Callithrix jacchus: one gene and its partners. The protein of the gene in region 2 purifies or fractionates together with the protein of the main gene of each other region. This does not show direct contact. Links are inferred from orthologs where the notes say so. Each region holds a gene or a part of one and is shown on either strand. Other genes may lie near its edges.

Evidence for each region. Proteins that work in one complex are often made in the same cells at the same time.
Region 1: the proteins of SKI (region 2) and HDAC3 purify together in Homo sapiens (affinity purification with western blotting; 4 studies listed by BioGRID and IntAct, with this or other methods). This does not show direct contact. The link is inferred for Callithrix jacchus from reciprocal best matches to the Homo sapiens genes SKI and HDAC3.
Region 3: the proteins of SKI (region 2) and SIN3A purify together in Homo sapiens (affinity purification with western blotting; 3 studies listed by BioGRID and IntAct, with this or other methods). This does not show direct contact. The link is inferred for Callithrix jacchus from reciprocal best matches to the Homo sapiens genes SKI and SIN3A.

The regions. Positions count from the first base shown.
Region 1 is NC_133503.1:40,068,910-40,073,204, forward strand, and holds the start of HDAC3 (histone deacetylase 3), read right to left. Parts: upstream 2,809-4,295; 5' UTR 2,755-2,808; coding exon 2,700-2,754; intron 2,593-2,699; coding exon 2,510-2,592; intron 657-2,509; coding exon 514-656; intron 1-513. Other genes in the region: RELL2 (RELT-like protein 2), read left to right, coding at 4,167-4,295. UniProt on the Homo sapiens protein: Histone deacetylase that catalyzes the deacetylation of lysine residues on the N-terminal part of the core histones (H2A, H2B, H3 and H4), and some other non-histone substrates.
Region 2 is NC_133508.1:40,278,928-40,283,177, forward strand, and holds the start of SKI (ski oncogene), read left to right. Parts: upstream 1-1,443; 5' UTR 1,444-1,891; coding exon 1,892-2,860; intron 2,861-4,250. UniProt on the Homo sapiens protein: May play a role in terminal differentiation of skeletal muscle cells but not in the determination of cells to the myogenic lineage. Functions as a repressor of TGF-beta signaling.
Region 3 is NC_133509.1:22,403,382-22,407,445, forward strand, and holds the start of SIN3A (paired amphipathic helix protein Sin3a), read left to right. Parts: upstream 1-1,256; 5' UTR 1,257-1,437; intron 1,438-4,064. UniProt on the Homo sapiens protein: Acts as a transcriptional repressor. Corepressor for REST. Interacts with MXI1 to repress MYC responsive genes and antagonize MYC oncogenic activities. Also interacts with MXD1-MAX heterodimers to repress transcription by tethering SIN3A to DNA.

The sequences.
Region 1 (4,295 bases), on a different chromosome or scaffold from region 2:
TCAGTTCACCGTCTCTTGGTATTCTGCACTTGGCCTTTTTTCTGTTCCTCAAATGAGTCATACTCAATCCTACCACAGACCCTTATCACATGTTGTCCCTACTGCTGCTATACTCTGCCCCTCACCCTCCAACCACCTTTGATCTGACTACTTCTACTCTTTTTTCAGATCTCAGCTCAATCTTTACTTCCTCTAGGAAGCCAGCCACTCCACCAAGCTAGAAAATTCACCATGTATACACTCTCATAATCTGTCATATACCTCCTCTTCATAATACTTAGCAAAAACACAATATTAAAATTTTGGTTTTGTTCATCACTGCATTCCCAACACTTAGCACAGGGCCTACCCCAGAGCAAATGACAAATAAATATTTATTGAATAAACAAATAAGTTAATTATGATTCTTTGACAAGCAGGCCCCCCTTCAGATGTTCCCACTGGTGCCAAAATACCTCACTGAAGGGACTGGAATTAAACTGTTGGACATCAAAAGTCCCAGTCGTTCCTTACCAGTCATCGCCTACATTGAAGGCATTAAGACTCTTGGTGAAGCCTTGCATATTTGTGGGGCTAACTCTCTGCAGGAAGTCAATGTAGTCCTCGGAGTGGAAGCGGCACATGTCATGCTGGGAGGCCTGGTATGGCTTGAAGACCTCAGGATGGAGACACAAGATGAACTCAGGCAGGGTCAGCCCCACTCCACAGGCTCAGACCACCCATACTGAACCCAGTCCTGGAGATTCTATGAAACCAAACATAACAATACTCTCATCCCACAATCGTTAAGTCAGGAGAGAGACTCCAACTAACCAGGTGGGCTATTACAATTGAGCCCCCTGAAGACCACTTCTTTTCCTTTCCACCTCCAGCTCAACCTATCGTACCTTCTCAACTTTGAGCCCTGATCCACCTGCCCTGTTCCTTGGCTTTCCTATTCCCATTTCTCTCCATGCTCATCTCCTCCCCCAAGCTCTGATTCTGTCCTCTTTCCTCTGGATTCTTCTTTCTGGAGTCAACTATATGGGATATATGTCAACTTTCTAATTAAAATCAAAGATTTATCATCTCTGGAAGGTGAGGGGGATGTGTCACACCTCCTTGAAAACTGGACAAGAAAGAGCTTTTCAGGCTGGGCGTGGTGGCTCAAGCCTGTAATCCCAGCATTTTGGGAGGCCAAGGCGGGTGGATCACGAGGTCAAGAGATTGAGACCATCCTGGTCAACATGGTGAAACCCCATCTCTACTAAAAATACAAAAAATTAGCTGGGCATAATGGTGTGTGCCTGTGATCCCAGCTACTCAGGAGGCTAAGGCAGGAGAATTGCCTGAACTCAGGAGGCAGAGGCTGCGGTGAGCCGAGATTGCACCATTGCACTCCAGCCTGGGTAACAAGAGCGAAACTCCGTCTCCAAAAAAAAAAGAAAGAGCTTTTCTTCTCCCAGAAAATGCACACAGGTACGTACGGGCAAACAATCTCAAGGGGTATAGATTCCTGCACATACATCACCTCAGTCTTTTCTATGACCAATCCATTCGTCTGTGCCTTGGCATAAGCAATTAACACTCATTCATATTGTTCACTAATTTCCTAGCAACACATAAAGCCTGGGCTGTCTTATTTTTTCTTTTGAGACAAGGTCCTCCCTGTCACTCAGGCTGCAGTGCTACAGCATGATCATAGCTCACTGTAACTTCAAACTCTTGGGCCCAAGCCATCCTGTCACCTCAGCCTCCCAAGTAGTTGGGACTACAGGCACACCCACCACGCATGGCTACTTTTATTTTTTATTTTTGTAGAGATGTGGGTCCCACTGTGGCCCGAGCTGGTCTCCAACTCCTAGCCTCAAGCAATCCTCCCATTTCAGCCTCCCAAAGTGCTGGGATTACAGGCATGGGCCACCATGCCTGGCTTAACTGTTACTATCCCATATCACAGCCATAAATTCCAAGCTTGGGGGACAGCATGTGTATGTCTGGGAGATGAAAAACTGGATAGCAATTAAGCAGAACCATGTAGAGGTATTCTAGGCTGAAAACGCAATATCTAGGATATCTCCACTCTTGCACACGCACATACACACTTACAAACATGGCAGCACTGTTGGTAAAGGAGGAGTGGGAACTGAGGGTAAATCTCACACCCCGATAAAGTGATATCCTTTCCCCCATCCCAATTCCTGAGGCTTAGGCCCTATCCACACTCTAAAATGCAGAGGAGGAACACACCTTCTGTCTTCAAACCAGTCCCACATCACCCTAACCCTAGGCCAAGGGCCAGTCTGTCTATAGTCAGAGGGTGGCGGACCTGCGGTGAGAAAGTACTTTCAATTAAGCAGAGGACGCCACCCCCAACACCGTGCACATTCAAGGTACTCCTGATGTCTTCTATCCAGCTTCCCCCTACTTTAGGGGCGGGTCGCATTCAATGCACTCAGACCAGCCCACCTATCCCTACGGCCACAGTTCTCCCCACCCCCCAACCCACGGCCGAGGCAGGGGGACTCACGATCATCTTCTTATAGAGACCGTAGTGCAGGACGAGGCTATGGGTCAATGCCAGGCGATGGGGCTTCATGGGGTGTCCAGCTCCTGGGGGGTGGGGAGAAGAGAGTTCGTCAGCTCTCACCCCTGGAGTTTCAACCCCCACCTCCAAATCTCCGCGTCCCAACCCCTCGTGCATATCCCTGTTTCTTCACCGTAGTGGAAGTTGCCCACGTCGGGGTCGTAGAAATAGGCCACGGTCTTGGCCATGGTGCCGGCGGGAGCAGGCCCCGCGCCTCCGCCGCCCGCCGCCAGCCCCGCCCCGGCCGTGCGTGCTGCGCCAGCACGTAGCCTGCCTCTGCGGAACTGGGCGGTGCGGGGCCCGCCTCCAGCCACACCCGGGCCAGGCCCCCAGAGGAGCTCCGCCCCTCGCCCGTCTCCGCTCTCCCGGGATCTGGGGCTTTGGGCGTCCAGGCGGGGAACTGGTAGCATCGCTCCTAGGATGCAAGGGCCTTTTCTCTCCGGCCGGGGGTCAGATCCTCGGAAAGCCGAGCCATCCCATCCAGCCGCTTGCCCCAAACCGGGCGCAGGCCGTGGTCACTTCTCTAGGAAGCTACGAAGGTCCCGCCACTCCCTCCCTCAAAGGTGCGGAAAGCCGGCTTCCCCCAGCCCTCGGGGAAGATTCCTGACTCCCCGCTCGGTCGGGGCATCTGAGGGCAGGAGCTGCGCCAGGCGTGCCGGATAGTGGACAACACCCACACCGGACAGCTTGTCCCCCACCCGGACCCAGACTCCGCGCCGCACATTGCCCCGGGGGGGCCCGGCGCAGTCACGCGCGCGCAAGGCTCACGCTCTCCGCCCATTACACCTGCGCTCCGCCCCCTGGTCCTGGGCCTGCGACCGGCGAAGGCGTTTGGGAAGCCAGGGCGGCTGCGGAGGCGCCCATCTCCCTGATCCAGGGCCGGGGTTGCTCGAAGCCTGCCGCCGCTCCCAGCCAGCCCGCATCCTTCTCTGTCCTTCCCTCCCCCCGCCTGCCACGGCGCCGGTATCCGCAGCCACAGCCCGGGGCCGGTGAGGCGGCGAAGGGGGAGGGGAGGAATCAAGGGATGAGCGCCGGGAGGGCGTCGGGGGCCCTGAGCCGCACTAGGACGCCCCTGGAGCCGGAACCCGAGCGGAAGCCGGAACCAGAACCAAATCACCGGTACTGGGCGGGCCAGGTGGTCTGGGTGGAAGAAACCGAAAAGGGGAAGGGGTGCGGGAGTACTGAGAGGAGAGGGTTGCAGAGGCCTGGCTCAGACCGGCTCGGAGGAGGTGAGGGCGCTGACTCAGGCGCGATTTCTGCTCCCGCCGCCTAAGAATTCCGTCCCATCTCGTGCTGCAGTGTCCTTGGGAGGGACAGAAGCGCGAACAAGCTGTAAAGGGAAACGCTCGGGGCGTCGGGGAAACAGGACCAGGGTTGTGGTAGAGAGCTTGCGTAGCCGCTCACCTCTTGCCTCGGGCGGTACTGGCGAACCAGCACCCTTGGCCCGGACAGCTCCCCGGTTGGGTAGGGGGTGGAGCCGGACCGCTGAGACTAGCTTGTTTCAGACCCTGAGCAAGGCATTCCTACCCCTCCCCCATTCCCAGCTGCAGCCCCCTAAACCCAGGAGGCGCCCTGGCCCGCGCTCGCCCCCCAGGACCTCATGTCGGAACCACAGCCTGACCTGGAACCGCCCCAACATGGACTGTACATGCTCTTCCTGCTTGTGCTGGTCTTCTTCCTCATGGGCCTAGTAGGCTTCATGATCTGCCACGTGCTCAAGAAGAAGGGC
Region 2 (4,250 bases):
CCCAGCACGAAAGCCAGCCTGGGTACCCGTGGCCCGTGGGAAAAGGTGCCAGGGCCCAGGGCGGCAGGAATGTCCCTCGGCCTCGGGCGAGGACAGCCCCCAACCCCCTCCCACCCATTGCGTCCCGGAGCCCGCAGGCCTCGCTGGACGCTGCCACCTCTGGGGACCACCAGGCCGACCGTCCAGCTTTGGGACCCAGGCTTTCCCACTTCGGCCTGCCAGGGCTTGTGGCTCTCCCACTGCGTGGCCAGGCGTGGAGAGCCGGCCCGACCGGACGGACGGAAGCGCCCCGCAGCCCCGGGGCGGAGGGCAGGGGTCTCGCCAGTCTGCCCGTCGGGACCCGCGGGGCCGAGATCCTGAGAAGCCACCCGGCCAGGGGCCGGCAGAGCGGCCGCGGCGGGGGCACCGGGCGCCGCCCCTCCCAGGCCCGAAGCCCCGGTCTGGTGGGGCGGGGCTGGCACGGGCGGGAGCCGCTGACACCCGGCCACCGAGCCACGGGCCACGGTGCAGCGGGGGCCGCGGGGCTGCGCCGCCAGGGTCACGTGGCGCGAAGTCCCCCCGCGTGGCCACCATCCCTGTGGTGTGTGGGACCCCAGAGGCGCCCGGGCTCCCCGCTGTGTGGTGTCCCACCCTGGGAGAACCCCGGGTGCGTGGCGTGGCCCGCCAGCCGTCCCAGCTGGTTTGCGGTCGAGCGGGGAGCCTGTGGGTTTCTGGGCCCCGGCGGCGGCGAGACGGGCGCCTTCCCAGCAGCGCAGGAAGCGGCCTCGGCCGGAAGGGGGCCCCGGGCGCCGCCACCACCGCCTCCGCCTCCGCCCGCGCTAGCGGCCGTCGGCGGGCAAGGCCGAGCGGGGCCGAGTCGAGTCGAGCACGGCCGAGCAGAGCCGAGTCCCGGGCGAGCGGAGCCGAGTCGTAGCAGGGCGGGTCCTAGCGCAGCCGAATCCCGGGCGAGCGGAGCCGAGCGCGGCCGAGTCCGGGCGGGGAGCGCGCGTTCCTGGAAGAGCCCGGCTGGGGAGCGGGTCACATTCTTGGCCGGCGCTCTGGCTGAGGCGGACGCACAGCAACAAACAGCGCGGGGGGCGGGGCCGGCGCGGGGCGGAGCGGGCGGCGCGGGGCGGGGCGGCGCGGCGGCGGCGTGAGCTCAGCGCCGGGCGCTCAGTCCGAGCCGAAGCGAGCCGCCGGGAGGATGTTCGCCGAGCGCCCCAAGCCCCGCGCCGCCGCCGCCGCGCTCTGAGGGCCGCGGGCGAGAGGCGCCTCCGCCGCCCCAGAAGCCGGGCGGGCGGGCCGCGGAGCCGGCGGGCGGGCGGGCCGGGGGCCGGCGGCGGGCGCGACGCGGCCGGCCAGCGCCGCCGGGACGAGCCGGGCGGGCGCCGCGCGGTGGGAGGAGCGGGGCGGCGGCGGCGCGCCGCGCGAGGACGGCCCGGCGGGCCCCGCGCCCGCGCCCCCGCTCCTCCCGGGCCCCTCGGCCTCGGCCGCCGCGGCGATTCGCGCCTCTCGGCGCCGCCACCTGCCCGCGCGCCCCCCGCGAGCCCCGGGCCCGCGAGCGTTGGCGTTGGCGTTGGCGGCGCGCGCCGGGGCATGCCCCGCGCCTAGAGCCCGGGGGGCGCGCGGGGGACGCGCGGGGGGCCCGGGCGGCGGCGGGCGCGGCGCGGGGCGCGTGGATGTGGCGCCGGGCCCGGGCGGCGGCGGACTCCAGCGGCGGGACCCCTTCGCCCCGCCCGCCTTCCCCTTCGCGCCCCCGGGCGAGGCCGCGGCCGTGATCGGTCGTGAGCCGGCGGCAGGGGGCGGCCGGGGTCGGGGCCGCGGACGCCGCCGGGGCGCGCGGGGCGGCGGCGGGGGCCGGGGGGGCCCGGGCGCGCGGGAGCGGGAGCGGCCCGGGGAGCCGGAGCGCACCATGGAAGCGGCGGCGGGCGGCCGCGGCGGCTTCCAGCCGCACCCGGGGCTGCAGAAGACGCTGGAACAGTTCCACCTGAGCTCCATGAGCTCGTTGGGCGGCCCGGCCGCCTTCTCGGCGCGCTGGGCGCAGGAGGCCTACAAGAAGGAGAGCGCCAAGGAGGCGGGCGCGGCCGCGGTGCCCGCGCCGGTGCCCGCAGCCGCGGAGCCGCCGCCCGTGCTGCACCTGCCCGCCATCCAGCCGCCGCCGCCCGTGCTGCCCGGGCCCTTCTTCATGCCGTCCGACCGCTCCACGGAGCGCTGCGAGACGGTGCTAGAGGGCGAGACCATCTCGTGCTTCGTGGTGGGAGGGGAGAAGCGCCTGTGCCTGCCACAAATCCTCAACTCGGTGCTGCGCGACTTCTCGCTGCAGCAGATCAACTCGGTGTGCGACGAGCTCCACATCTACTGCTCGCGCTGCACGGCCGACCAGCTGGAGATCCTCAAAGTCATGGGCATCCTGCCCTTCTCGGCGCCCTCGTGCGGGCTCATCACCAAGACGGACGCCGAGCGCCTGTGTAACGCGCTGCTCTACGGCGGCGCCTACCCGCCGCCCTGCAAGAAGGAGCTGGCCGCCAGCCTGGCGCTGGGCCTGGAGCTCAGCGAGCGCAGCGTCCGCGTGTACCACGAGTGCTTCGGCAAGTGCAAGGGGCTGCTGGTGCCTGAGCTTTACAGCAGCCCAAGCGCCGCCTGCATTCAGTGCCTGGACTGCCGCCTCATGTACCCGCCGCACAAGTTCGTGGTGCACTCGCACAAGGCCCTGGAGAACCGGACCTGCCACTGGGGCTTCGACTCGGCCAACTGGCGGGCCTACATCCTGCTGAGCCAGGACTACACCGGCAAGGAGGAGCAGGCGCGCCTCGGCCGCTGCCTGGACGACGTGAAGGAGAAGTTCGACTATGGCAGCAAGTACAAGCGGCGGGTGCCCCGGGTGAGTGGCCCCAGGCCTGGGCGCGGGGTGGGGCCGGTGCGTTGGGTGGGGGGGCACCTCCTGGGCCTTGCGCTCCGGGCTCCGAAGGCCGGGACCTGTGTTCTGCCTCACTCCTGTCTCAAGGCTTCGGTTCGTTTAGGGGAAATTCAGAGCGTTCCCTTGGGCAGGGCCAGTGGGTTTGGAAGGAAGCCCTCCTGCCGGTTCCTCAGGACGAGCCTGGGCGGGGCTGGTGGCGGTGGGGTGCGGGGCCAGGCTTGGTGTGTGGGAAAGGCCCACAGCCATTGCCCAGATAGGCCAGGAAGGCACAGGCCTCTTGTGCTGCCGAGAAAGCGGCCTGTCCCGAGGTCAGGGAAGTTCCATCCAGCCGTACTGCGGCTGGATGCCTCAGGCCCGGGTCTTCCTTGGGGTTGGGGTGAAGGTGGCTGCCCTTACCCCGAAGCTTCCCAGCTTTGAGCCCCAGGAGACAGAGCTCGGGCCAGGCGAGGCCTGGTTTTGTTACTGGCTCTGCTCCCTGTTTGGTGTCCTGAAGTTTTGGGACACAGACCCAAAATGAAGCCAGGTGTCCGGCGTTAGTGGCGGAGGGCCGAGACTCAGCAGCCCCAGCACTGTGCTGGTTCGTCTCCCTGGGCCTGCCAGGGAGCAAATCCCAGAGTCCCCCGTGCAGGGTGAGGGCCACTTGGCACCCAGCTGAGGGCCTGGTCAGCAGGCTCCTGGGCCCGAGTGCTGGAGTTCCTGGCGGCCTGCGATTTGTTTTGGACTCACCCGTTTCCTTCTCTCCCTCTGAAGCGCAGAGGGACACGCCAGGGAGGGAGACTGTCAGCCCGGCTTTGTTGTTTGCCAGTTGGAGGATCTGGAGGATCCGGCGTGGGCAGCTCCCAGGCCATAAGGCACCGACATTACCCAGTGGGGTCCTCAGGAACTTTCCGTTGCATACCTTCCCAAGTATTTGTAACTTTTTTTTAAATATGCAGGCTTATTAAATTGCACACACAGAATGCTGCATTGGCTCAGCTATTCTTGGGAGGCCTAATTAATTCAGCTATTGCATCAAACTTTTTTTTTGAAATCTGTGAATAGATGCTCCAGCCCGGTTTTCTCTGGGCGGCCCTCCAGCAGAGTGTCAGATCGTGGGGAGGAGGGGCTGTGGATGGAAGCGAGGGACTGTCGCCTCTGCTTGGAGGGGGCTGCGGAGAGTGTGCGCGCGCGTGTATGCCTGTTCAGGGGCGCTCTGGCCCTGCCAGGCCAGAGCCTTGGTGCAGCTGCTTGCAGACCTGTGGGCTGTGGAAGGATGCTCCCGGCGGGGCTGCTGACAGACCCAGCAGGCTGGGGCCTTTCGTGTCACACGGGGAGTTGGCTGGGGTGGGCATGATGGCGTACCCTGTGGGCTGGG
Region 3 (4,064 bases), on a different chromosome or scaffold from region 2:
GGTGGCTTGTGTCCCCCAGAAACTCCTTTTGGTGGGAAGTTATGATAAATAAAGCAAATGATGCAAGGAAAGATCTGAGTCAAAGCTTTGACTTGCAGGCTGCTGAAGGTGGGGAGAGCTTTCAGACTGGGTGGCTGGGATAGAGAAAAGAAGCCTTCTCTTCCCCCAGCTATTCCTTCCACAAGAGGCACTTCTGTAGTCTCCAAACGCAGTATTACAACAGCCTCTGGGCCTCCCCTTGCTGCTTATAGGCACTTCTCAGTCCACCGTCAGAACCCATCTTTCTGCCAGGGTGCCAAACATCTTACACTATAGTTGTGGGCCTGTGACGGTGCTGCCTGCATATTCGGCTGTGCACATCCAAGAATTTCACCCAACTAAAAGTTGTAAAGTGGTTCCATTTCCACACCCCCAACCCTTTTTTATGGCTATAGCCACATATGAAGGTCATTTTTTTGCATTTACCCCTTTGTGTCCTTTGCTGACAATGACCTGCCCCTCCAATTCTGCTTGATGAAATCTTTAAGACCCAACTTGAATGCCACCTCCTCCATGAAACCAATTTTCCTTCAGCAGAAGGAATCTCTCTTCTCTGAGCTCCTATGGATGTCTATTTACATACACATTCCTGCCTTGCCTTAGTGCCTTACGTAGACTCTCCTCGGCTGAATCTGGAGCCCTTGGAGGGGTAGAGTAAGCACGTCACCCAGTCTGTAACTGCACCTAGCAGCAGATGCAGTATGAATGTCTGCCTCACCCACAGTAGGGACAAGTGCCTGCTGCCCGCGGAAGCAGGGCTTCCCGTTTGCGTTACTCGCTTTTAGGTCTACCTAACAGAGTGGACCGGACACGGTTAGGTCACACAGCCAGAGGAGTCTGCCCACCTCAGCCAGTGCCTAGGGTGCACCTACCTCCTATACTGTCTAGCTCCAAATAGGTTGTGTGTGTGAAGGAAGTTGGGGCCGGGTAGCCCGGCTGGCTCATCATCCGCATCCACCCTGAAGATCTCCGAGTCCCAGAAGGCCTCCTTCCAGTCCGAGGACCTCAAGAAACTCCAGTCGGCGGTGTGGAAGCTATAAGGGCCTCTACCACGGATACGTCTCTCACTAGCGTTTAGTTTAATAAATTTATTTATATTTTTTGGAAGGAGGGAGCATTCAATGAAGGGGAAGAGGCGGGGCGAAGGGCGGAGGCGGGCCCAGGGTGACTGACGTGAGCTCCGGGGAGCCAATGGCCCGTGGGGGGCGTTCCCCCCCATTCAGGACTCCTCGCCTGGCTCGGAAGGTATGTTAAACAGCTGCTTTTAATTTGGTCCCCCCAATCTCAGTCGTTTGGGGGGCTAATCCCCCGGCCGCTCGGTCTGGCCGGCCCGACGTGGTGTGAGCCCCACGGGCCCTGGGACCGAGCTGAGGGGAGGCTCGGAGTCCCGCGGCCGAGGTAGGCGAGGGACAGGCCAGGAAGGAGAGCTCTTGGCGCCGCCCGCTCGCCTGTGTGTGTGTTTCGAGCCGGGCCGGAGCCGTGGGGAGGGGGTCGGTCCGGCCTGGGTCGTCCCTGCGCCGGCAGTGCCGCTTAGTTTATCTCACCGAGCAGTCGGTTTTGGTAGGTTTTGGCGGCGTACTGGAGAAGGGGCGGGCAGGAGACCCCCGCTCCTGTTGTGCCTTTTTCAAAAAAAGAAAAACATTAGGAAGGAAAAGGGGGATTCCACACGCCGACTAGAACCGGGCCCGGGTTGCGGCTTGCAGGCTCGGCAGGGGGCGGCGGCTCGAGCATGGTCGGCAGGGCCCATTGAGCTTGCGGCGCCCGGAGTTGCTTGAGAGCTGGAGTTAGCGAGCGAGCCGGGGCCCGCGGCTTTCCCGACTACCCACGCTGAGCAAGGGCGGCAGCCGCCCCGAGGGTTTTGTTTCTGCCTGCAAACTTGTCGGAGGGGGCGGTGGGCGCGCTCTGGAGAGGCGCGGGCACAGTGGGCCCGCGGTTGTTATGGACTCGGGGGGCGGGGGCAACACCGGACTTGCGGGAGGGGTAGCCGGGGGCGGGAGAGGCCACCGGAAAGAGCCGCTGCGCCTCGCCGCTAACCCCGCGAGCTGCCGAGGCTCCGAACTCCCCGGCCGTAGCGGTCATCAGCATTCGGTGCCAGAACCCGGCAGGCCGCGAGCCGGCGAGGAGCTCGCACCGGTGGTGGGGAAAACCCCCAGGAACTCGGCGGCTTCGCCCCGCGGCCCCGGCTGATCTCCTTGCAAACATGGAGCTGCCTGCTTCCCCGCCCACCCCAAGGCGGCGGCGGCGGCGACTGCTGCTCTTTTCCCCTCCCCCGGCCGTGCCGCCGCCGGGCTCCCCCTTCCCGCGAGGTGCCACTGCGGGCCGCTCCGCGCGGATGGGGCGGGGGCGCGGGCGTGTGCGCGCCCACGAGGGGGTGGCCTGAAAGGGGCAGTGAAGGTCGGAAACTGGGAAAACAGTCTCCACGCTCGGAATCGGGAAAAGGAAATGCATCAGCGGGCGGGAGGGGCGCGGGGGGCGCGCCTGTCAGCCGGGATGGCGGCCGTGAGCGGGTAGGCGGAGCGCCGGCGCGAACCGTCCCGGCCGGGCGGGGCAACGCCGGGAGAGGCGGCGCAGGGGCTCCCGTCCACCGAGCGCCAGGCGGCCCCTGCCAACACTCCTCGACCCAGACTGTTTACTATCTACTCCACCGGCGGCTTGTGCAACCCGCCTGGAGGGGAGCTGAGGGGCGGGTCCGTTTCCTCTCTCCCACCTACCTCGGGCTCGCCCGGGGGCCCCGCCTTCTCTTGTCTTCCACTGGCTGGGTGAGACCCCCTTTTTTCCTCCTTCTCGGAAGTGGATTGGATGGCATTCTCCCGAGCTCCGCCTATCGGGAGGCCGGGCTGGAGTTTAAGTTGCTAGGATTTTTTTTCCGCGGAGGGAGGAGGGAGGGTTCCTGCCGCTGACAAGAGGCGCAGGGTCCCGCCCCCGCCTCTGATTGGTGGGACGAGTAGCCCGGCCTCCTCCGGCTTTGCGAGCTTGGAGTGGGAAGTCCACTCTTGTTCCCCGCCTCCTCCCTTCGCTCTTGAGCGCGCTCGGCACATGTGTGAGGCCCGCCTCGCTCCTTCGAACTGCCCTCCCGCCCGGAAGTCCTAGGCTCGGCGCCCTTGGCGAGGGGGGCGGGGATAGCCGAGAAGCCACACAAAGGTTCCACCGAGGCTCTAGACTTGGTAGCCTTCGGGGTGAAGCCAGGGGATTACAGTGAGGAGTGGATTTCGGTAGCGAAGCTCCGGAGGTTCTGCAGGGGTTGAGATCTGCACTTCGTGGCCGGGGCCAAGTACTGAAGTTCTGACCCTGTGGCTTGTCTATTTCCGCGCCCCTTGACTTCCCTGAGCTTAAACTGAGAACTCTGTAGACGCTGAAAGCGTTTGTTCTTCCCTAGGCAGGTAGCTGCCGTCCTTAGTTGGCTGTGTCTAAGATTCTTGACAACCTAGAGCGCTGGCCTGGGACCCTTTGGCGAGATCCAGCGCAGGTAGTACCCTGTGGTCACGGGAAGTCGTGAGCGGCCTAATGCTGGCTTGGGTTCTGAGTAGTTTTTGATACCATGGTGAGCCTGCCCCGTGATACTCAGTTTAGTGGTGGAAGGGGGCGCAAAGTTAGGAGTTTTGGGTCGGTTCTGCTGGAGTGCCACTTCCTCCTAGCATCCCAGCAGTTTGGCCCAGGGGTCGCTTCGTTGGTCTTATTTTTAGAGCTCCGTTCCGGGACAGGGCTTGGCTACTGGCGAGGCTGCTCCCACCTGTCGACTCCCCTTGAACTTCACAATTCGCTGTCGTGGTTTTGTGGCTCGAAGCCATCACTGGAGTCAGGCCCACCTGCTGCCAGAGCTCTTTCCTGGCCATTTCCACTGATTGCAGAGGGAGAACAGAGTTGGACCCAGGAGTGGGTTCGCCGTGCCTGTCCCTTGGGAGGAGGATTCGGCTTCCTCTGGAGTGCGGTAAAAACCTAATCCCGCCCCCTCTCCTGACGCTGGGAGAGTGTCCCCTCAAAGTGAAGTCAGCTCAGGCCCACGCTTTATTTGGTGAATAAATAAA